3 linked regions of the Sus scrofa genome follow. The protein of the gene in region 1 interacts with the protein of each later gene in a pairwise test. Links are inferred from orthologs where the notes say so. Each region holds a gene or a part of one and is shown in the gene's direction. Other genes may lie near its edges.

Evidence for each region.
Region 2: the proteins of CDK1 (region 1) and CDKN3 interact in a two-hybrid assay, tested with the Homo sapiens proteins (2 studies listed by BioGRID and IntAct). The link is inferred for Sus scrofa from reciprocal best matches to the Homo sapiens genes CDK1 and CDKN3.
Region 3: the proteins of CDK1 (region 1) and EGFR interact in binary tests that used the Homo sapiens proteins (3 or more experiments, as listed by UniProt). The link is inferred for Sus scrofa from reciprocal best matches to the Homo sapiens genes CDK1 and EGFR.

Annotation. Positions count from the first base shown.
Region 1 is NC_010456.5:64,231,251-64,239,333, forward strand, and holds the start of CDK1 (cyclin-dependent kinase 1), read left to right. Parts: upstream 1-2,738; 5' UTR 2,739-2,831; exon of another isoform or gene 2,832-2,845; intron 2,846-2,980; exon of another isoform or gene 2,981-3,025; intron 3,026-5,130; 5' UTR 5,131-5,155; coding exon 5,156-5,192; intron 5,193-8,083. UniProt on the Homo sapiens protein: Plays a key role in the control of the eukaryotic cell cycle by modulating the centrosome cycle as well as mitotic onset; promotes G2-M transition via association with multiple interphase cyclins.
Region 2 is NC_010443.5:183,788,877-183,797,136, forward strand, and holds the start of CDKN3 (cyclin-dependent kinase inhibitor 3), read left to right. Parts: upstream 1-3,740; 5' UTR 3,741-3,876; coding exon 3,877-3,885; intron 3,886-4,915; coding exon 4,916-4,980; intron 4,981-5,104; coding exon 5,105-5,147; intron 5,148-6,214; coding exon 6,215-6,297; intron 6,298-7,899; coding exon 7,900-7,955; intron 7,956-8,260. UniProt on the Homo sapiens protein: May play a role in cell cycle regulation. Dual specificity CC phosphatase active toward substrates containing either phosphotyrosine or phosphoserine residues. Dephosphorylates CDK2 at 'Thr-160' in a cyclin-dependent manner.
Region 3 is NC_010451.4:139,419,296-139,426,810, forward strand, and holds part of EGFR (epidermal growth factor receptor precursor), read left to right. Parts: intron 1-2,861; coding exon 2,862-2,996; intron 2,997-7,515. UniProt on the Homo sapiens protein: Receptor tyrosine kinase binding ligands of the EGF family and activating several signaling cascades to convert extracellular cues into appropriate cellular responses.

The DNA of each region.
Region 1 (8,083 bases):
GGTATAGGTTGCAGACACACCTCAGATCCATAGTTGCTCTGGCTGTGGCATAGGTCAGCAGCTACACTTCCGATTCAACCCCTAGCCTGGGAACTTCCATATGCTGCAGATGGGACCCTAAAAAGAAAAAAAAAAAAAAAAAAAAGGGAGTTCCCGTTATGGCTCAGTGGTTAATGAACCTGACTAGTATCCATGAAGACATGGGTTCAATCCCTGGCCTTGTTCAGTGGGTTAAAGATCCCGAGTTGCCATGAGCTGTGGTGTAGGTTGCAGATGAGACCTGGACCCTGAGTTGCTGTGGGTGTGGCTGTGGCTGTGACCAGCAGCCGTAGCTCCGATTGGACCCCTAGCCTGGGAACCTCCATGTGCCCTGGATTCGGCCCTAAATAGACAAAAGCAAAACAAAAACAAAACTGGAGTTTTCTGGTGGCTCAGCAGGTTAGGAATCCAGCTTTGTCACTGCTGTGGCCTAGGCCAGCAGCTGCAGCTCCTATTAGACCCCTAGCCTGGGAACTTCCATATGCTGCAAGTACGGCCTTCAAAAGAAAAAAAAAAAAAAAAAAGCTTCTGACTCCAAATTCCTTTCCCTGCTTAATACCTAAAGAGCCCTACACCCTCTGATGGAAGCACCTTGAATTACATGAGCAAACTTCAGTGCTTTACTCAGGCTATTTCCTCTGCTTGGAAGGCCCATCCCACAATTCTTTCTCCAGTGTTCCTTCAGATGTCACAGGCTTCTCCAGTGTCCCTTCAAATGTCACATCCTCTGTTTGAATTAGTTATTTCCTCCTTTATGTTTTCATATCACCTTATAGCATAAGTTATAACATCAGTGCCAGAAGCGAATTTTAAGTAATTTTTTATTTTAAGTAATTTTTTATTTTAAGTAATTTTAAGTAATTCTCCCACCCCCCAACACTTAGAGCAGAAAATGTATCTGGTGTGTGTGTGTGTGTGTGTGTGTGTGTGTGTGAGAGAGAGAGAGAGAGGAGAGAGAGAGAGAGAGAGAGAGAGAGACACTGAAGAGAAGCTGACCCTGGATAATAAACTGTACTTGCTAAGGTGATGGCCTGAATTTACAATGACCCCTGAAACTTTAGAAAGAAAGATAATAAAAAACAAACAAAACCTCCAAAACACCAGCCATGCACACACAAAAGGAAAGATAGCCAAGTTAAATTTAAATACAAATCTAGCGTCAGAGTTGTGGAAGCTTGTGGTCTTTTTTATGCTGAATGTAAAATGTTTGTAATGATTTACTAGCTGTTTTTAGATGAGGCAAATTGAATCTCTTGCTTAGGCCTCCCAAGAGAAAGATATATATATTTATTCGGTAAAATTAGTACACTAAACTACCAGAAAGCAGTCTTCTTCTCTAGAGCTTTTCTCCAGGGGCAGTTTTCATTTAAAATGTGAATTTGAAATTTTAGAAATAGGTTTTAAAGGTTATTAGGTTCAGGCCAAGATTTCCCAACCCCCTATCTCCACCATGAATCCCAAATGCTCTGCCTCTGATACCCAGGAGCACAAAGTTTCCAAGGCTGAGGGTTTGTGCCATATATAGGGCCGGATGACAGATGCTGCTCCTTGCATAATAAGGTATTAAAAACATAAATGCCTGTGGTATACTAGCTCCTTTCCTTAGCCTAACTTGAGTCATCTAACATATAACTGTAGAGGTCATGGTAATGATTTTTTTGTCCTACATTCCATTAGGGTCAGTGCAAAGACTCTTATCCCTTATTCTATTTTGCTCTTTTATCTCCCTAAGGACTTAAGAATGGTGTTCAGGTGCAGAACTCCCTCTTTAGGATATGGTGGAAGGCAATGAAAGAGTTTTGGGACACTGGATTATTTAAAGTATGATTTAGATCTCTTTCTTCCCTCATAGAAATGTGAACTCTTTTTTTATTTATAATTTATAATATAAATTTATAATTCTCATGTAAGAATATTTTAAAAATGTTTTAAACGTGGATCCAACACCACAGCCAGGGCGACGCTGGATTCTCCATGCACTGAGTGAGGCCAGGGATCTTCCTGGGTACTAGTCGGATTTATTACCCCTGTGCCACAACGGAAACTCCCTGTTTTTAGTTTTTAAATAACATTTTAAATAGACAAAATAATTTAAATTTAAAAAGTGAGGTTAAAAACATAACATAGTCAACATGTGTGTAATGTAAAAATAGTAAAGTCCAATGTGTATATGTGTGTGTGTGTGTGATATAAAGTTTTTCTTTACATTGATCAGGACATCTTTGAGTTTTCTATTATTTCCTTGAGGTAACTGAAATGTCCTTTGGCCCAGCCTGAGAGTTATTAATTTAGAAAAACACAAATGTGAGCTAGCTTTAAGAATTTTAAGTGAAAGTAATGGGATCTAGATTAAGTGTGTTATCACTTTTCTGATGAGGTATTTGAGTACAATAAATTTTAAATGTGCCAGTATTGTGAGGGGAAAAAAGCCAACCCCTGGCGAACAGTAGATTTCTGATGACTTGAAACAGTAGGACGACGCTTTCTTGGAATGGAAGACAGCGCTTGCGCTCACACTCAGTTGGCGCCCGCCCTCCTGCTTTTTCTCCAGCCGCCGTTTCCTCCTTCTTTCGCGCTCTAGCCACCCAGGAGGTCCAGCCCAAGAGCAGCTGGGCTCTGATTGGATCCTTTGAAAGTCTACGGGCTACCTGATTGGTGGATCCAGGACCCTTTAGCGCGGTGAGTTTGAAACTGCTCGCACTTAGCTTTTCAAAGCTGGCTCTGGGAGCTTAAGGAGAGCGACGCTGACGTGGTAGCCCTGCCGCCGCTTTCGTCGCAGGATAATAAGCTGGGTAGAGTCGCTGGGGTCAGGGTCATGCTTATGGGGCGTTCAGTTGGCAGGGGAGGTTCGCGGGCCTCGGAGGGGGAGTGTTAAGGAACCGGGTGAGAATTAGGAGGCTGGGCCCTGGGCAGCAAGGGTCTGCGTGTGGCCAGCCGGGACCTTTATCTGGGGCCTGGGCGTGTGAGTGACGCCGAGGTCCGTCATGAGAGCGAGGCTTGGGGGAGCCCAGCCCTGGCAGGATTACTCCGGCCGGGCTGGGGTTGCTCTGGCCTCGGAATTTAGCCTGGGGTCGCGGGCGGCTGAGGAGGCTTTGAGGTCATGGTTGAAGCCGAATCCGCGCATTCGACGTTGCCAAGTGCTTGCCGAGTGCCAGGCTCGGCCTTCGGTCCTGCAGTTCCCCCCGTCCCTGGTGCGCCTTGCCCTCGCCTCTGGGCGTGGAAAGCAAGGCCGCACCTGGGCCAGGTACCCGAACCTCTTCCTGATCCCAGGACGCCCCTGGAAACCGATTGGATGAACTAACTTGTGGGTCTTCTCAGGCTTGCGTCTGTGCCTGTGACCCTAGCCCACCTAGAGCTTTAAGGAAGACTTAGCCAAGGCATACAGCCCGAGAGAACTTGGATTTGTTTTAATTTGTTTTTATGCTTGGTGGTTGTTATATACCATGGAGTTGGTAAAGAGTAGATATCTAAGAAAAGCCTACAGCTAGAAACGTGTGTTTTTAAATCCTATAGTCAATTTTTACCTAATAACTTGTACGTCTTGCTTCCTCTAAAGACCTGGAGGTCTCTGTAGATGAAGTCTTGGTATTTCAAGGCCGGCTATACTCAAATTCCGAAGCTGCTATCTTTATTTCAAATAGTTACAACCGGAGAATGGAGGGAGAGTAATTGAACCCAGCGTTGAGATGGAGTTAGTTTTTAGTTATTTGTTTAACCTGAGCTTAACAATTTTATTGTGCTTTAGGCATATTAAATCTGGATATTGAGGAAAAGATAATTATCTTCATCGTCCACTGCCATTTGTAAAATTAAACCTTTCTAGGATGGCAAGTGTAGTGCAATTTTAATTCATTTAGAAAGATCTATTTCTGCTTATTTCTGGAATGATTTTGAAGATGAATGTGAGAAATAGAATCTACGGGTCAAATTACTCAGAGTGACCTTTGTATATAAGCTTATCAGTGATTGTATTATAAAATTAGATTTTGAGCTTCTGAAGTAAATGGTTGACAGGCAAACTAACCAGCCAAGACTTAACAGGAAGTCTTGTATCTGATTATCATTTCAGCTTTTTTTTTTTTTAAGCCTTTATTGTTCTTGTCTGTTGTGTGGGGTATAGATTTTTTTTCCCCCCTGTGGAATTGTACCTTTTCTTTTAGAGTGCTTAGTGATATTTCCTGCCTTACCCTCCAAATTTTTATCCTGTGTGACTGCTGAGAACAGGAGAATGATTAAAACTGTCACTTGAGCGAGCTGAAACACTTTTGCTATTTTAAACACTAATGAAAAAAAAAAAAGAGCCGCGTTGTCTGCCTGCTTGTATCTTTCACAAGCATCCTATCTTAATAAATCTATTTCTTGCATTAAAAAACCCCCCAAAAAACCCATAATGAGCGAGCAGTGTCACATTTTAACTCCCTGCTCATGCCTTTAAAAATTGTTTAAAAATTATCTTCATAAAAATATCATAAATCTATACAAATTCAGTCAAATAACATTCTTTGTTAAAGTATTTGGGTACAACTCTGACACATATTGTTGGTGCTCCTTTTTTTTTTTTTTTTTTTTTTGTCTTTTGAGGGCCACACCCGCAGCCAGGAAGTTCCCAGGCAAGGGGTCCAATCAGAGCTGCAGCTGCCGACCTGCGCCACAGCAACGCCAGATGCCATCCGCTTCTGCGACCTACAGCTCTCAGCAAAGCCAGATCCTTAACCCACTGAGAGAAGCCCGGGATCGAACCCGCAACCTCATGGTTCCTAGTTGGATTCATTCTGCTGTGCCACTGGGGGAACTCCTGGTGCCCTTTAAAAGTGTTACATGAAGAGAACATCTGTCTAAATTTGAGGGTTTGGAAGGCACTAAATGTTACACTAGTATAGGATATACAATTATTTCCAGTGTTTTCATGAGCTAAGGTGGGAGAGTTTTTAGTTCTTTCCCATGTAAATATTGTTTTAATATAAGATTTATGGAAAATTAATACTGCACTAGGCACTGTGGAAATACTTCCCTTTAGTATCTCATTAATAACTTAAAATTGCCCTTTGAGTTTGTGGCATGTAATCAAGTCCATTTTTCCTCTCATTTTAGGATCTACCACATCCACTGAGTAACTATGGAAGACTATACCAAGATAGAGAAAATTGGAGAAGGTGAGTAGTTTTAATAATATACAAGGTTTTTTTTTTTTTAATGATTTAATGATGCTGCAGCATCCTTGACATGAAGACGTGAACATTCATTAAAGAATGAATGTTCTATAGGTACCTTACAGTACATTAGTACATTAATACATATGTTCTTTACATGATAATTGAAACATAAAAATGTTCCCAGTTCAGGAGAATTGAAATTATTTTCGCATGTGTCCCCAACAGCCCCCTCCAATAATCTTACATTCTTCTAAGACAAATGCTTAAAGCAATATTTGTATTTTGAATCCTATTGATATCTTGTAGGTGTGGTTGGGAGAGTGTTCATGCAGTGGAATTAGGTACTTTACTTCTAAATACTTGTGCATATATATTCTGAGGTTCTAGTCAAGGTCACACATTTCATTTCGTGGTTAATGTCTCCTTAATCACTTCTAATTTAGAATAGGCCCTTGACATTGAGGTTTTTGACAATCTAATTCATTCCTTAAATACACCCAGGCTTTTCTGATTTCATTTATTACTCTTGTTTTTCCTGGATTACAAAAGTCTGAGTGTTGTAACATTAGTCTTTGAATTCCTTCGTGTCTTTAAGAAAACATCTTTTTAGATCATAGCATGGTTACAGCCATGATGTGGAACCTTAATTGGCATTTAGTAGGTACTCTAAAGATTTGTTGATTAAAGGTTTTTTTTGTTTACCACCAGCAGCTTTATAATTTGACCATAGCAAATGTTTTTTAAGTTTTAAATATTCAGTTCAGAGCATATACCTTGTATCATACAAATATTTTTGGTGCTTAATCAGTAGAATCCTTTTGTTCTATTTAACTAGAGCTCTATTCTAGTAGTTCAATGAGAAGTGATAATTCAGAGTCAGGAGGGAGACATAGAGCACTTATGATGTTTAAAACTCAGTAATTCTTGAGTGTTTACTATAAATTAATGGTTGTTATAAGTAGATTTTAGGTCTATGAGTGCTGTACACTTGAGGGAAAAGTAAGAATACTAAAAAAAATTTTTTTGTATTTAAAATTAACTGCCTATTTGGCTATATTCCACAAATGACTAATCTTCTGAGTGTAAATGGTGTGCCAGATGAGGGTGCTTCTAGCTTACCTGCTTTTGTGTTTAATGCAAGTACAATTTACATTTGAAAAATGTAGGTTTTAAGTCTAGAGAAGGTTACCTACTTTATTTTTTCTTTTCGTGGCAGCTCCTGTGACATTTAGAAGTTCCCAGGCTAAGGGTCAAATTGGAGCTGCAACTGCCAGTCTATGCCACAGCCATGACAGATCAGAGCTGCATCTGTGACCTATGTTGCAGCTTGTGGCAATGCTGGATCCTTAACGCACTGAGCAAGGCCAGGAATTGAACTCGCCATCCTCATGGATACTAGATAGGTTCTTAACCTGCTGAGCCACACAGGCACTCCTAAAGTTGGCTACTTTTAAGGATGGTTATGAAGAGCAAATAAGATTAATCCTACATAGTCTTCAATAATTTTGGTTATCCAAAGCACAGTTAATCTAAATTTAATCAAATGATATGCAATGGATTTTATGTCAAATTATGTCTTTAAAATGATACCAAGACAGGGAGTTCCCAATTGTGGTTCAATGGATTAAGAACCTGACAAGTATCCATGAGAATGCAGATTTGATTCCTGGCCTCAGTGGGTTAAGGATCTGGCTTTGCCCTGAGCTGTGGTATGTATCGCAGGTGCGGCTCTGATCTGGTATTGCTGTGACAGGTGTAGGCCAGCACCAGCAGCCTACATATGCCATATACCACATGTGTGGCCCTAAAAAGAAAAAAGAAAAAACAATCAATCCCATAAGGTGTCAAGGATAGAAACTTCTGTTGTGGCCAGAGAGGAAGCATCTTACTCATAGTTGTACCCTCTCACTCTGCAAAAAACACTGAGGTTAACTACAGCCTATTGTATCCATACTTTAGAAAGCTCATGTAGTCACAATTTTCTAATTTTCCAGCCCATTTTAGAGAAAAAGGATCATTTGCAAATTGGAAACTTCTCTCCTGTCAAATGTCCTACCCAACAAGGTAGGCATAAAATAGTGTAAAAATTTGGGGTCAGGAAATAATACTAACAGGAGTCACAGTGATACTTTCAGAAAATTTCATGTAGAATACTTCATGCATACATTGAACAGTCAACAATACTCATCCAGAAAAGAAAATATTTTATTAAATATTTAATCTATTCAAGTTCGTATTATCTACGGAAAGCCTCACATCCACTTTGAAGTTGATGCTAATATAAGGGCTTCAGATAATGAGCAACGAGGTCAATATAAGGGATCCTGGTATGAATGAATGGAGGAAACAGATGGCAATAAGGGAGACGATGGACCAATCAGCTAAAAACCAGTTCATATACAGGATCCCTAGATAATTGGTTTGTTTTTTTTTTTTTTTTAAGCTGGGGTTGGACAATTTAGAAAAGTCTTAACCCCCTAAAGTGTATGGTAATTTTGTTGAATAGCTTTTACTGTTATTCTATGACATGAGTGTAACTTCAAAGCAGTTACAGTGCTCTAATATCTAGGGAGGTCTATTCTACAGTTTTTTAAGTTTCTCCAAAGATAGCCATACTTCAGAAAAGGCCTCTAACAAATAATGACCTACTACTTGCTTGATTAGAATATTAAGGATAGTTTTGTCAAGGCAAACTGATGCTATATAAACTCTGTTCTGCTTTTCTTTTTACAATCACATCCACGGCATATGGAAGTTGCCAAATTAGGTGTAGAATCAGAGCTGCAGGTGTAGGCCTACACCACAGCCTCAGCAACACTGGATTGGAATAGCGTCTGTGACCCATGCCTCATCTTGTGGCAACACTGGATCCTTAACCCACTGAGCAAGGC
Region 2 (8,260 bases), on another chromosome or scaffold:
TTATGCTGTATCTCACGGTCATCACAAGAGAAATCCTTAAACTTGGCATGTCAAGAATGGGGAGGTGTGTAGTCTCCAAGTTGCAGTCAACTCTAAGATTCCAGTGTTCTCTCCCTAAAACACATGTCAGACTCATTAGTGTTAATATTAAAATATTTTTAAAATAGGCATGTATTTGTAAAACATACATCCAAGTGCAACCTCTGATGGCAATCATTTCATTACTCTTTGAGCATCTCTCAAAATACTCATCTGTCTATGAACATACGTTAACACTTTTCCTTCTGATGGTTTAGATAAATCTTGCACACAGCTTTGACCACACACATTTCTGTTAACAGCCACGGGTCACACAGCAAAAATTAACTGACGATTACAGGTGTGGCAGGCTGAAGTTCAACCCCCACTCTTCCTCTCCAGGGAGAATCTTAGGGTTTAAAGAGAAACCAGGTTACTATGATTCCATTTAACCAGAAAGCTCAGTCAGAGGCCTTGTCAGTTTCTGTGGGCCCTTCCACAATGAAGGGACCAAGCTAAGCAGAGGAGAATGTCTTAGCATAATAAGGCCAGGACTCTTTTGCAAGAAGCAGACTTAAAACCATGTTACTAGAAGAAACATACATTTCTCTCATAGACTATATAACAGTGCTGGGCAAACATTTTCTGTAAAGGACCAGCAATTAATATTTCAGGTTTTGCAGGCCATGCAGTCCCTGCTGCAACCACTCAACTTTACTACTGGGGTGCAAAAGCAGCCCCAGACAATACTTAAATGAGTATGTCTGTGTTCTAATAAAACCTTATTTACAAAAAGAGGCCTGTGGAATTTGGTCCACGGGCCACAGTTTGCCGAACACTGGACCAGACAAAAAGGAAAATCCTACATCACAGAGGTGAGATGCGTTCGTCTATGGCTACTTAGAAATCCTGGCCTGGCCCTGCCAGGGGAGAGAACAAAGAGAAGGTGAAATACTCCCAGTTTACTCCAGCCCTCCCTGTTCTACCCATTTCCTAACCTGAGACTGGAAGCTCATCCTCCCTTCTCTGCAGAATCAGCAGGAGCTAGAACCGATTGACACTGTGTCCCCATCCAGCTGAGGCCAGAGGGGGCAGAATTTGCACCACCCTCGAAGGACCTGGGATTTCATTCATTCCAGAGTGGGAGGTATGCGTAGAGAAAATGGAAGGGACGCCTGATGCTGAAGATTAAAGATGTCTGTGGAGACAACACTGGGAGAAGTGGAAAGGAGATGAGAGTTAGGGAATGAGGGATGATCAAACATCCTGAAGCCCATCCAGAAAGTATTTACCTGGAGCCCAGGTCACAGTCTTTCCTTGGACTCTCTCAATGTTTCAGGAAAGAGGCTTGTGGAGTTCCTGTTGTGGCTCAGCGGTAATGAACCTGACGGGTATCTATGAGGACACACATTTGATCTCTGGGTTCGCTCAGTGGGTTAAGGATCCAGCATTGCTGTGAGCTGTGGTCTAGGTCAGAGATGTAGCTTGGATCTGGTTTTGCTATGGCTGTGGCTATGGTGTAGGCCAGAAGCAGTAGCTCTGATTTGACCCCCGGTTGGGGTACTTCCATATGCTGTGGGTATGGCCCTAAAAAGACCAAAAAAAAAAGTCTTGTAAGCCACTCACAAGGTCCTGCTTCATTTGTTACCTCTCTCGGCCTCACTTAATCAGCTTCTCCTATACTGGCCTCCTTGCTGTTCCTTGTGCACACATTCCTAACACATTACCATCCCAGGGCCTCTGCACCTCCTTACTCTTAGAATGAAAACCCTTCCTCTAAATATTCAAATGGTTGACACTCTCTCCTTCACCTGGGTACTTCTCAAATGGCATCTCAAATATGTCTTCCTTGACTTTTGGAGCTAGAATAGCATCCTCATCAGGCTCTGCTTGTTTTAATTTTTCACTTTCCAACTGTCTCTCCCAATAGCATGTGAGCCCCAAAAAGGCAGGGACTTTGTTTAGTTCACTCCAGTATTCCCAATACTTTGAATAGGACACATGTGATGTTCAATAAAATACTTAATAAATGAATGAACCAAGTCCAGTATGTCCATTATGGCTAATTTTATGTATCAAGTTGGCTGGGCTATGATGCCCAGATATTTGCTCAAAATGCATTCTGCATGTTTCTGGAAGGGTGTTTTTGGATGAGATTAGCATTTAAATTGGTGGTGAGGAAAGCAAACTCCACTTTATAATGTAGATAGTCCTCATTCAATCAGTTGAAGGCCTGAACAGAAAAGGCAAGCAGGCATTTTGCAGCAGGTGGCCTTGGGACTATACCTGCAACATCAGCTCATCCTGGTTCTACAGAAGATTGCCTTTAAACTACAACTACGATTTTTTCCTGAGTCTCCAGCCCCTCTAGTCTCCCTTATCAGCTTTTGACTTGCTGAGCCTCCACAGTTGTAAGAGTCAATTCCTTAAACTGAATCTCTTTATGTACATATCTTATTGGTTTTTTTCTCTGGAGAACCCTTATACAATCTCTAAGGCAAACTGTGATATCTTCTTTACTAAAGAATTCTTTCCAATAGCTCTCTACCCCCTCGTTTCTACAACATGAGTCAGGGAGTGAAATTTCTACATATTTTTGTCAGACCTGCAGGTAATATCGCTCCAGGTGACCTTCTTCACTGTGGCCAGCAAAATGGGGACTGGAGAATGGGGGAGTGAATAATAAAATACATTTTTTTATGGCTACACCCCAAGTCATATGGAAATTCCTGGCCAGAGATTGAATTTGAGTGGTAGCTGTGACCTATCCACAGTTGTGGAAACGCTGGATCCTTTAACCCACTGCACCTGGCCGGGGTGAACCTGAGCCACTGCAATGGGATTCTTAACCCACTGCAGCAACTCCTCAAACCCTATTTTTTTTTTTTTTTTTTCCTTTTGGCTTTTTAAGGCCGCACCTCCGGACTACACCACAGCAACGCTGGATCCGACGAGCCTCGTCTGGGACCTACACCACAGCTCACTGTAACACCCAATTTTAACCCACTGAGCGAGGCCAGGGATCAAACCCACAACCTCATGGTTACTAGTCATATTGGTTTCAGCTGAGCCACTACTGGAACTCTATTTTTTTTTTTTTTTTTTTAAGTTTATAGCCACTCTTACTTAGAAACACTGGCACTGAGAGCCATCTAGAAATTATTATTTCCCCTTTATAACATACTGTTTCATTCATATTTAGTGAGTAGGAAGGTTGAATCTACATCCTAACTTGTCTATGTCCTGGAATGGTAAGGAACATAAAATATCAAACATACAAGTCTTGATTTTTAACGGTTCTCATAGCATTTGAATGACTAGATGTGACCATAATTACAAAGTCCACGGAATGTGGTGTATATTCACAAGACGCTTCAGCCCAACGCTCCCTACCATGCCCATAAAAATAATAATAATAATAATTTAGGAAAACAAACAAAATTCCCTACCCTGGTACCACTTTGGAATCCTGCCATGAGAAAGCACCGCTTTCCGGAATCCCCACAGTGCTGGGGCCGTCTTTAAAAGATATCGCTCCGCCCTCACCTCCCCGCCCCCTCCACGCTCCCAACCGGCGGGAAGAGGTCGCCCTCCCAACCAATGAACATTCGGCAGGGCCCTCCTCTCGCGCGTCTTTCAAAGGCCCCCTAGGAACCAATGAGCGATTAGAGGCCGAGCCAGGGGAATCCCCGGCCGGAGTAAGAAACAGGGAGAGGGTCTGATTGGTTCCTCGCTCCACCTCACAGAAGTATGTACCAATAAGCTGAGCCGAGGGGCAGGCTCGGCGAGGGGCGGAGGCTGAGACGCTGGTGCCGCCCGAAGAAGGCTGCGGCGGGTCACGACTTGGGGCGGCCAGCGATGAAGCCGGTGAGTGGGGTTGGGGATTGGAAGAATTGAGCTAATGGGATGGGAACAGTCCCGAGGCCAGTTCCTGGTCCCGGGGACACCTGGGCCTGGTCGCGGCACGACTCGCGTAGTAACCGTCCAGGGTAGGGGGTATGGCCCTTCCCGAGACTTGCGGAGAACGATGGCAGCGAAAGAACAGGGTCGGTGGCGGGCGAGGGGAAGACGAACATTCGCTGTGCACCTGTTATGGGCTGTGGGCTGTCGCCTGCGGGGTCTCCTAAGTCTCCTGACAGCCCTGCCAGAGAGCGCTGAGCCCCGCTTTACGGAAAAAAACGGCATAGAAGCCTTAAGTGTCTCCGTGTATCATTCAGCCTGATATCCCAGCCTCAAAGCATGTGCTGGGCACCCCTGCGGAGCAGTCCTCCCCGCGGACGATGATTCACAACCCCCACTTGTAGGTGTGTCATCACAGTCACCATCCCACGGGGCACGGGGCCACCTGGCACTACGTCCTTTTGCCTAGAGTTCAGAATCTCTGGGCCTGGGGAAGCAGAAACTTCCAACTGTTAAGATTTATAAACCTGGATAGGAAAGCCTGAATTAATGGGCCACACAAATTGAAAATCTGGAATCATCAAAGAAAGAAAAAATAGGCTTAAGGAGCGGAAGGGTACCCATCTGACTCACATCACCTCCCACCAGGGTTGACAACCCCTTGAAGAGCCTCCATTTGAACTAAGTTTATTAATAATAATAATAATAACACAGGTGGATCCAAAGCAACTCAAATCCGTGGCCTAAACTGGCTCTGTAATGTGATCTTGTAGTAACGAACAAGACCATTATAGAATGTGGCTTCAGAGCTAGAAAAGACATTGGGCAGTTCCACTTGCTAATCCCCGTGTTTCCATGTGGAGGGAACATCAGCTGTCCTTCACTTCTAGCCTCTTTCTACACTTGTCCCCAGAAGGGGAAGAGTGAGTGATCCGATGCCTAAGTTTGAGAGGAGCTGAACATAAGAAGGGAACCCTTTCTTCCCTTCTCTTTGCAGAGAGTACTTTCTGGGGTGCTCTTAGCACAGGAGAGCCCTGGGTTGTCCATCACCACCTGTGACTGGTGAGAGAAGTCCAATGCTAGAGTGAAGAAATGACAAGCCGCCTTGAGCTCAGCTTTAAAACCACATCCTCCCTCTGACAATCAGTAATAAAACTGATGTATTGATCTCCATTTGCCTTTCCAGCATCTCATCTCTCCCTTGGTTCCAGCTAGGGAGTAGAAGAAAGGTGTGTTTTTTTGTTTGTTTTTTTTATTACTCCTATAAAACAACACATCTTCCATGTAGAAATGCTTCCCACAGGATTGAGTTTCATCTCCTTCGGTCAGCAAACAAAGTGCATCTCACTCTCTCTAGCCCAGTGATTCACAGAGTTAGGGCTAGGTTATTCCACCTAAACTCCCCACCCTGCCCCCCACCAAACTACTAGGCTGTATGGGGATTAATTTTTGAGAAATGGGGTAGAGAAAACTACTACTTTGGCTTCCTCTCCCTTACTCTGATACCACAGTTCCTGAATATAGTTGGACCTCAGTATCTGGTTGCATGTCATTGTATATACAGGACTTGAGCGTCTGCAGATTTTGGAACCCATGGTGGGGTGACGCTGGAGCCAACCAATCCTACACACACACCATGGACACTAAGGAACTATAGTGTACACAGACCCTTTCTCTTTTTGCCTTAATTGCCTTAACAACTTCTCTATCTGCCTAAAAACTTCCTGCTTATCCATCAAAACCCAACTCATGGATGTCTCCTCTATTAAGCTTTCTTCAGCTTCCTAAGCAGTCAGCCACAGCCTTCTCTGCTCTAAAGGGCATAGTTTATGCTTGCATTTCAGCACTTCTAACTTTCTTGAATCTATGTACACATTGTCTCTCCAACTGTACTTACTTTATGGGTCTTCGCATCTCCAGAGCTTGGCTAATGAAAATGTCCCAGAAATGTTTGTCAATGAATGAATAAATCTCCTCACTTTTTAGTTTGGGAAAACTGAGGTCCAGTGGAAACTAAAGCTGCTTATCTAAGTATATACAGTAAGTGGCAGAGCCAAGACCAGAAGACAGGTTTCTTGGTTCTCAATCCAGCAGTCTTTCTACTACATAGGGCTGTAATGATTAATAAATGGTATAAACAGCAATAGTTTATTATTGATATTGCAGATCTCTCTAATATTCCAGGTTGAATAAATTGCCAGTATGTATCAGTGTGCACTTAAGCTATGATCAGCTATACTAAAACTGTATGTAAATATTCTTTACAGTTATTTAACATAATTGATTTCTTTTGAAGCCTAGCGTGATACAAACAAGTGAGTTTGACTCATCAGATGAAGAGCCTATTGAAGATGAACAAACTCCAATTCAGATATCATGGTATGTGGACATTTCTGATCCCTGATGAGCTAAAATATCTGATGTGTACATCACAGTCTTTGTAGGATTTAGTCTATATATTGAAAATTATTCCCTTCTGCTGATTATATAATTCTAATCTTTCTTACCTATGATAGAAAAAGACTTTTTTTTGGGGGGGTGGAGGGGAGTGGTAGGAGCTCCTTCCTTATATTGAGAAAATCATAGTAGAAACAAGGAGTTAAGATTAGAATGATCTCCCATTTAGTACCAAAACTTTATTCTTTTAAGACAAAAGAATAGTGTATCAAACATAGGATGAGTTATCATTTATCATTTACTCAAATCCTACAACTACTTGCCATAATAATTCATCTATCAGTAGACCCTATTTAAGATGAAAGCCACATTATCATGGATACAATAACCAAAACCAAATGTTTTCATATAAAATCAACTGCTAAGTCTTGGCAGTGATTTAGGTTATACAAGATTCTTGCCTACCAGCAGTCAGATGCTTTTTCTTATCCCTGAAAGTGTAATAATCCTCCTTAAGGTAATGTCCCTGATATAGGAAGAGAAAAAGTCTTGTCCCTGAAGTTCTTTTGTTCTGCCATCAAATAGCAATTATCTTTCATTTCCCCTTCTAAATCCCCTTTAAACTCAAAATCTCATCTGATTTTCAGTCAGGTGGTATTTATATGATGCTCCCCCACCTCACCCCAACTGTTTTCCTCTAAATTCATCTTCTTTTTCAAAGACAAGGTGAGTCTCTGCCTTCATTGTCACCAAGCACTGCAAACTGGGAATAGGACTTCTTGAAATTATTTCATTTTAACCAAAACCCATTACAACAAAGAATTGGTGGCCTGTGGTTTTTATTCTATGAAATTATATCTGTTTAAGGAAATCCTGCAAAGAAATCTTAAAGTAGTAATGTAGAAAGATGAGTGCTGGGAATGAGATTGTCAGATGATCATTTTCTTTTTTTTCTTTCTTTCTTTTTTTTTGTCTTTTTAGTGCTGCACCTGCAGCATATGGAAGTTCCCAGGCTAGGGATCAAACTGGAACTTCAGCTGCAAGCCTACACCACAGCCACATCAATGCCAGATCCGAGCTGCTCTGCGACCTACATCTCAGCTCATGGCAACGCTGGATCCTTAACCCACTTATCGAGGCCAGGGATCAAACCCACATCCTCATGGATACTAGTTGAGTTCATTACCACCGGGCCTGGAGGAAAACTCTCTCAGATGGTTATTTTCCAGTTTATGCCTAAGGTTACTGATACAGAGTATCTCAGGTAACATACCACAAGGGTAACTTAAGTACCCTTTATCCTAGCTGTTGACAATCTAGCCATTACTATCCTTAAGGTAAGTTTAAATTAGCATGTTGCTTTCAAGACTTTAATTGTAACAAAGCAAATGACGTCTCTATTTTAAAACTTCCAGTCTTTCTAAGCCTTTTTGTAACCAATACACTGATATGTAAATATGAATTTTTGTTTTGTGACTATTGTAAATCTCTGAAACACACCTTTGTTCAGTGGTTTGTATAAATGTCCATCTGTAATTTTTTTTTTTAATTGAACCAAATTTGACAAAGTTTTATTCTTTTCAGGCTACCCCTGTCACGAGTGAATTGTTCTCAGTTTCTTGGTTTATGTGCTCTTCCAGGTAGGTCACATCATTGATAGGTTAAAAAAAATTTTTTGTCAGCTAACACATCATTCTCTGTATTGAGCAGTAAGAGAATTTCATAGTTTCTCAGCATGGGAATTCACTTCTGGAAACCCTCTTGGTGGGCCATAGATAAAGGAACATAGATCTACTCTTCAACCCTTCCAAACCCACATTCACAGATATACATTTCTGATTTATCTATCTTAGTAAAACATAACACTAGTATTCAGTGTGAGGCTGAGGACTATAGCCAGGTACTTGCTACAGAAGGGGCACAGAATAAAGAATCCTTGGATTAA
Region 3 (7,515 bases), on another chromosome or scaffold:
GGGAGAGGACAGTGAGGTCAGATGGCGAGGTCTTTTGTGCCCATGTATCTGCCAGTTTTATTATCTGGACCCCAGGTATAAGGGGCACGCATTACCCACCCCACCCCGCCAACGTGAGACATTTTCCAGGGTAATGCCCTCATACGGAGAGCATTTTAGGTTCAGGGTAGGGAGTATGACAAGAGAAGTCAGAATTCTTAGGACAGGGCACTTGTGCGGGCCCTCCGAGAGGAAGCTGCGGAGGATGAAGACAGGACAGGAAGCTGATTTGGGACATTGAGGACCACCCTTGCTGTGCCCTTATTATGCCCTGCTGTGTGGCAGGTGCAGTGCTAGCTGTGTTCAATTGGAGTCTTCTTTTAATGCAAGTGACAAATAAAGACATGGTGGCAGAGGGACCTTCCTCACGTCCCACATGAGTGAAAAACAGCCAGGGGTGGGCACCCAGCTTGTGCCCCAGCATCCTTACCTGCCCAGGCGCTGGCCAGTGTGTGCAGGCTCTCAGCTCGCCGGCCGCCCATGTGGCCTCGCGGTCTGGTGGTGACAGGCAGAGACGGCGGGAGCCTGTGCGGGTAGGATCCAGCCCTGGCCCCGTCACTCACCAGCCAGGCGCCCAGAGCACGTGCTCTCTGTGTCTTCGGGTGTGTAGGTGGGATGGTAACGGACTGGCAGGAGTGTCGAGTCAGTTAAGGGGATTACTCCAGATAAAGCACGGGGAGCTGCTTCTTGACTTAGGGTTATTTCTGTTGTTGGTATTGGGGCTGCATCAGTCCAGGTGACGCAGTGTCATTAACTAATCCTCTGATGGGGGCTGTTTAAGGCGAATTACATACTGTCACCGTCACGGGGCAGTGCTGGGGCCCTGCTGCCCGTGACCTTCTTACCTGCACTTTCCTGTCCTTGGTCCGTCACCCTGATGGTCCCGCAGCCCTGGCATCTCCTCTGCATCCCCAGCTCTGACCTCTCATCAGAGTTTACCCCCTTGACTCTGGCTCCCTCCCCCATGAGCGTATCCACTTACTGTCCTGCTGTGGCCTCTGACTTCACGTCCAAAGCTCCACATGGGGCCCTCTCTGACCCCCGAGCCTGCGCTTTGGGACTCTGTGTCTCCGAATCTGCTGAAGGAGCCACCCCTCTGCACCGGGGCTTCCATCTACCTGGAGCCCCCGTGCTCCTCCCCCCAGTCCCCCCTTGCTCCTCCCCTAGTCCCCCCTGCTCCTCCCCAGTCCCCCGTGCTCCTCCCCCAAGTCCCCCCGTGCTCCTCCCCAGTCCCCCGTGCTCCTCCCCCAGTCCCCCCGTGCTCCTCCCCCAGTCCCCCCGTGCTCCTCCCCCAGTCCCCCCGTGCTCCTCCCCAGTCCCCCGTGCTCCTCCCCCAGTCCCCCGTGCTCCTCCCCCCAGTCCCCCGTGCTCCTCCCCCAGTCCCCCGTGCTCCTCCCCCAGTCTCCCGTGCTCCTCCCCCGGTCCCCCCGTGCTCCTCCCCCGGTCCCCCGTGCTCCTCCCCAGTCCCCCGTGCTCCTCCCCCAGTCCCCCGTGCTCCTCCCCCAGTCCCCCGTGCTCCTCCCCCAGTCTCCCGTGCTCCTCCCCCCGGTCCCCCGTGCTCCTCCCCCCGGTCCCCCCGTGCTCCTCCCCCGTCTCCCCGTGCTCCTCCCCCCGGTCCCCCCGTGCTCCTCCCCCCGGTCCCCCCGTGCTCCTCTGCCCTCTGGGAGCTGTGTCCTCCCCAGTGCCCTGGAGACTCTTCCCAGCAGAGCCCTCCTTCCACGGCCCCTCCGCTGTGCGATGCTGGGCAGAACTCAGGCATCCGCAGGAGAGGCGCAGTCATTGCATCAGCTCAGGTAGCGCCTGTAAACCGCTGGTGCCCTCCTGCTGGGGGTGGAGGCCCTCCGCGGATGTGAGGTCACTGGATGACCCGTCTCCCAGGAGCCAGCAGAAATCGTCCATCTTTGCAGACCCCATGGCCCTCCCCGCCGTGCTCTGTGTGCCTGAGTCACTAGGCAGATGTTTACATAAATGTCACAGCTGGAACAAGCCCTCTGCTCAGGCTCAACTTTTCTTATCACTCCTGACTCTTCGCACCATCAGCTCCTTTGAACAGCTAACTGTCCTTTACGCCTTTGCAGCCCTGGTGCCTGATCTATCTAGGTCACAGATACTTTTTTTTTTTTTTTTTTTTGCCATTTCTTGGGCCGCTCTCGTAGCATATGGAGGTTCCCAGGCTAGGGATCAAATCGGAGCTATAGCTGCTGGCCTACAACACAGCCACAGCAAAGTGGGATCCGAGCCACATCTGCAACCTACACCACAGCTCACGGCAACGCCGGGTCCTTAACCCACTGAGCAAGGCCAGGGATCGAAGCTGCAACCTCATGGTTCTTAGATTCGTTAACCACTGAGCCACAGTGGGAATTCCTGGTCACAGATACTTCTTGCCCCCTCCACCTCACACCCCTTTCTCCAATGAGATGCCACAGAACACCTGCCAGCATCTCCCTGTCCCTGCCCGCCCCTCCCATTTGCCCTTTCTCATCTGCATCACATAGTCATTCCGGGCCAGCCTCCCCGAGAACCACCAACTCACTGCGCACTCATCACTTATGCTAAGAGGCTCAAGCACTGGCCTCCTTCCTCCCTACATCCCTAAATTCTGGCCGTGCGTCGTTCAAGGACCCGGTGCAAGGCCATCGTGACCCCTCCGTGGAGTGGAGCCTCCAGCTTCCCTCTCACCCCCCCTGCCGGGAGTTCCATGGGGAGTCTCCATGCCAGCTGCCATCCTTGTAGCCGAAGGCAAACTGGAGAAATGCAGGCATATTTCACGAGTGTTTAGAAGGGGGGCACGTTTTCTCATGGGGTCCTTTCTCGCACAGAGATCCTGCAAGGCGCCGTGCGCTTCAGCAACAACCCTGCCCTCTGTCACGCGGAGTCCATCCAGTGGAGGGACATTGTCAACAGCGACTTTCTAAGCAACATGTCCATGGACTTTCAGAGCCAGCTGGGCAGCTGTAAGTGTTCCCCAGAGCCGCCAAGGTGGGCAGAGCGCGGAGTGCTGGGGTGGGTGTCGGAGAAGGCTGAGTTAATGCTGAGTTACATTCATCTGAAAAGTAAGTAGTCAGCAGATTGTCTGCTTGCTGGAAGAGCACCTGTTTTAAGATAGAGGGTCAGTTAGCACCCTTGCTGGCAGACCACCCCCAGGACAGCTGAGCCGCTGTGTGGCATTGAGAAGAGCCTGCCAATCAGTCATGGCCCTCGATGGCTCCCCCATCCTGTTGAGGAGGCCGATCAGGCTCTTGTGTGTGTCTGATTTGCTTCTGAGCCTCTGCTTGGCACCAAGCCTTCTAGAACTGTGGAGCTGACCTCTGCCCTCCTGCTGGGGGGCCTGGGCTCCCCTGCCAAATCGGGGAGCGCACGAGGATGAATTTGTCCACATGCGCCTCATGCCACTGTTCACTGTCAAGCAGCCCACGCGAGGGAGAGGCTGGTGGAGCCAGGCTGCAGGCCAGGGCTGCCCAGCCTGCACTGTTGGCGGTGCTGGGGGCTCTGAGAACACCAAGCCCCCCTCAGCTTGCTCCCTTCCAGCTCTTCCTGGCCTTTCAGTACTTGAAAATCAGGAGCCATCACTGTTTCTCACCTCTTTGCTTCCTAGGACCATTCCAAGAGATGCATGGGTTTGATTGGTTTGTTTTTTTTTTTTGGTCTCAGAATTTGGAACTGATATCGATCTTCAAAATCAACTAGAGCTGCTCTGTTTTGGGGGTTTTAAAAATTTGGTTGATGACTATGATAAAATTTCTTAAAATAAAACTTGCCATTGTAACCATTTTTAAGCATGCAGTATGGCAGCATCAGGTACATTCACACTGTTGGGCAACCATCACGCCATTCATCTCTTTTCATCCTGCAAAACTGAAACTCTGTCCCCACCAAACAACAACGCCCCAGCCCCTGCATCCGCCATCTCTCTGTCTCTGTGAATTGGACGGCTTGCATCGCACACCGTTTGTCCTTTTGTGACTGGCTTCTTTCACTGAGCACAAGGTCCTCCAGAGCCGCCCAAGCGAGAGCAGGTATCAGACTTTCCCGCCTTGACGTGGCTAATAGTCTTGCACCGCACGGACACTGGTACACGCACTCTGGTTTGTCCATTCACCTGCTGGGAGCACTTGAGTTGCGTCCATCTTCTAACAGTCGTGATGAAATGCTGCCATGAGCATGGGCATTGAACCCTTTTGTTTTGCGAAGATATTCTTCCAACAGATACCCAGTGTGGCACCCACCATGTCTGCAAGGAGCTGAAAGCTTTATTTTACAGGTCAAAATTTTGTGTTATCCAGAAATCAAGGTTAGCCTTTCCTCAGCTGTCTGATGGATAATGGAAAAGTTAAATTGTGTAGATTTATAATGAAAAAATTGACATGGCACGGCTTTGAAGTTAATATGGGTTTGCCGTGGACCAGATCAAGCAGCCCAAAGGGGTACACCTGGCCTCCCTGCCCAGTGCTGCAGGAAAGCCCTGGCAAGGAGGTACTGAGAGAGAACAACGGTGGACAGGTGTATGCAAATGTTACACAGCTATGAGCCGTAAACCAAGATAGTTTTGGTTTCAGAGTAGACATGTAAGAATAAGCCATAGAGAGTTAAGAATGAGACAATAAGAGAGAGTTCCTTTGTGGCTCAGCAGGTTAAGGATCTGGCATTGTCACTGTCAGGGCTCTGGTTATGGCTGTGGTGCAGGTTCAGTCCCTGGCCCAGCAACTTCCATGTGCCACAGGTGCAGCCAAAATTAAAACAAAACAAAACACAACACTTAAGACAGTAGGAATAAGCCTAACTCAATCACACGTCCGTAAAGAGGTAACATTTCAAACAAATAAGAAAATAATTCATTATTCAATAAATTGCTCTGGAATGATTTAACTACTAAGGGAAAAATATCAAAGGACGGAACTCAAGTACTTTTTTAAAGGAACTGAAGATATGAGGTTAGTCACACTGGAAATTACAAAACTGCCCTTCAGCTGCCACCTGTACTTTCCTCCTGAGCGACCTGATCTGCGACAGGTTCAAATCCCGCCCCACCCCATGGAAGGAGAAACCGCACCCTCAGCTGGTGCTTTTCAGGCCACAAATAGCTTCTGAGAACTTGTCTCATTTCATATTTACCCCCAAAAATCTCATAGGGTGATTTAGGTATTTTATGGACAACAGATTGGAGATTCCAAATGGTTTTTACCCAGTGTGCCCCAGTGTTATGTTGCTGTTGACATAGTTTGGAATCTGAAGATCGAATGGGCAGGTTCATCTGCGAGGAAATTAAAGTAAATCCATCATCCACTTCATATACCAGTGAAAGTTCCAATGCATATTAAACATCAAAATATTGAATATATATTTAAGTGATAGAAAGAAACATGAAGATGAATAAGTGTACTATCAAGTTGAAGGACAGTCAAAGTTAGATCCCATAAAAGAAAACGTCAGTATGAGAAAGTGTTGATGGCAAACAGGAAAAAAACATCATGCAGCATCTGATTGCCTCGAAAAGGGTTCACACTCCTGCTGAGTGACTGTGCAATGTACCCTTCAAAATCCTAACAAAAAGGTAAACCTCCCCCCAAACCCAAAATGAGCCAGAGACAAAAGCTGCCCCCACAACACACACATGCACGCACACGCAAGATGGCTAGAAATAAAGTAAAATGCTATTTGTCACTGTAATAAAAAGGTCAAAATAAAATAAAGACGCGTCATTTTGCCTTTGCTAAAGGTTTGGGCTCCTTTTGATTTTTTCAATACCTGAATCATTAAATAAGTATTGAAGCTTTCAAATATTCACACCCCTGACCCATGAATTTCATGTCCAGAAATATTAAGGAAAAAATAATAAGGGGAATGAAAATTGAGAGGATGTAGAAAAAAATTTTTTTTCAAGAACATTCCCTACAGCCTAGTTTACAGTAACTCTTAGAAGCAACTTATGTATCTAAAAATAAGAGATTGGGGGAGTTCCCGTTGGTGGCTCAGCGGTAACGAACCCCACTGGTATCCATGAGGACATGGGTTTAATCCCCGGCTCTGCTCACTGGCGTTGCCGTGAGCTGTGGCATAGGTCACAGATTCGGCTCAGATCTGGCGTTGTGTGGCTGTGGTGTAGGCTGGCAGCTGCAGCTCCAATTTGACCCCTAGTCTGGGAACTTCCATGTTAAGTGGGTGCAGCCCTAAAAAAGAAAAAATAAAAAAATACTAAAATAAATAAATAATAAAAATAGAGATTGGTTAAATAAATTGTGGTAGCCATGCCATTAAAAATCCATTCTAGACAGAAAGATATTTAAAGCATGGAAAAATTGTCATAACGTTTTATCAATTATTTTTAAATTATAGTACAGTGTAGTGTGATACTAATTCTTATGTGTACATATACTTATTGGCCCATATTGATTACCCCTGGATGATTCTCATTTCTTTTTGCTTTTTTCTGTTGTTTGTATTTTAAATAATGTCTGCAATTCTTTTTTGTCACATAATGTTAAGAATCGTAAGAAGTTTAATTGTAATTATAAGAAGGCTAAGAATTATAAGAAGGTTAGGAATTATAAACAGATGCTCCTTGGTGAATTCCTTTTTTTTTTTTAATGATTTTTATTTTTTCCATTATACTTGATGAATTCCTTGATGGCAAATATTTTACTTTCTTTCTTGCAGAAAGATGCCATTGAATGTATTTATTTTAAATATTTTTCTTTTATGAACTTATGCTTACTGTTTACTATCTGATAATTATGTAATTATTAGTATAACAGATACAGTTATTACATAACGCAAATAATTACACTAATTATAATGTTATTACAATTTTATTATTATAAGTGCTTCTAATGGAAATTTGGGAAACATGGAGAAGTCTGGGGTGGCCAGGAGGGATCACGTGACATAGACACAAGCTCTCTGAACGTATCTGTGCGTTAGTTTTGCTCTCTCCTCATGGTTTCTATCCCTGTCTGTCCCCGTCGCTTCCTTTACATAATGTGCAGCCACTCCTGCCAGGGAGGCTTAGCCTCCTGTCCTTGGGGATTGCGAGGAGCCATACCCCTGTGCTAATGCCTTTCGCCGCAGGAGTGATTCTAAAACTTGGGGTCCTGTCGAAAGGGTGCCCAGGCCCAGCTGTCGCTTGGCTGGTCATCAGCTCTACCATTTGAAATCTAAATTCTCCCGGAGACTGAATTCTTCCTAATGGGGGCAGCTTTGGGGCACAGGGAGTCCTTTGGGGACTGTGTCTTTGCAGTGGACGAGGTCTCTTTCTAACACATCCCGGGGGTGGCCTCTTCCTCCTGTCTGCTGTAGATCACGTGGTCTTCAGATTTCTCAATGCTGGCTGAACACGGCACCCGACTAATGAGATGAAAACCCTTCCTAGCTGTAATCTGTAGTTAACTGCCAAAAGTACAGGAATGGATTGATCAGTAACAGACAGTAACTCGAAGTTAATAACTGAGGCTGTAGCCGATCAGGCCGGTGACAGGC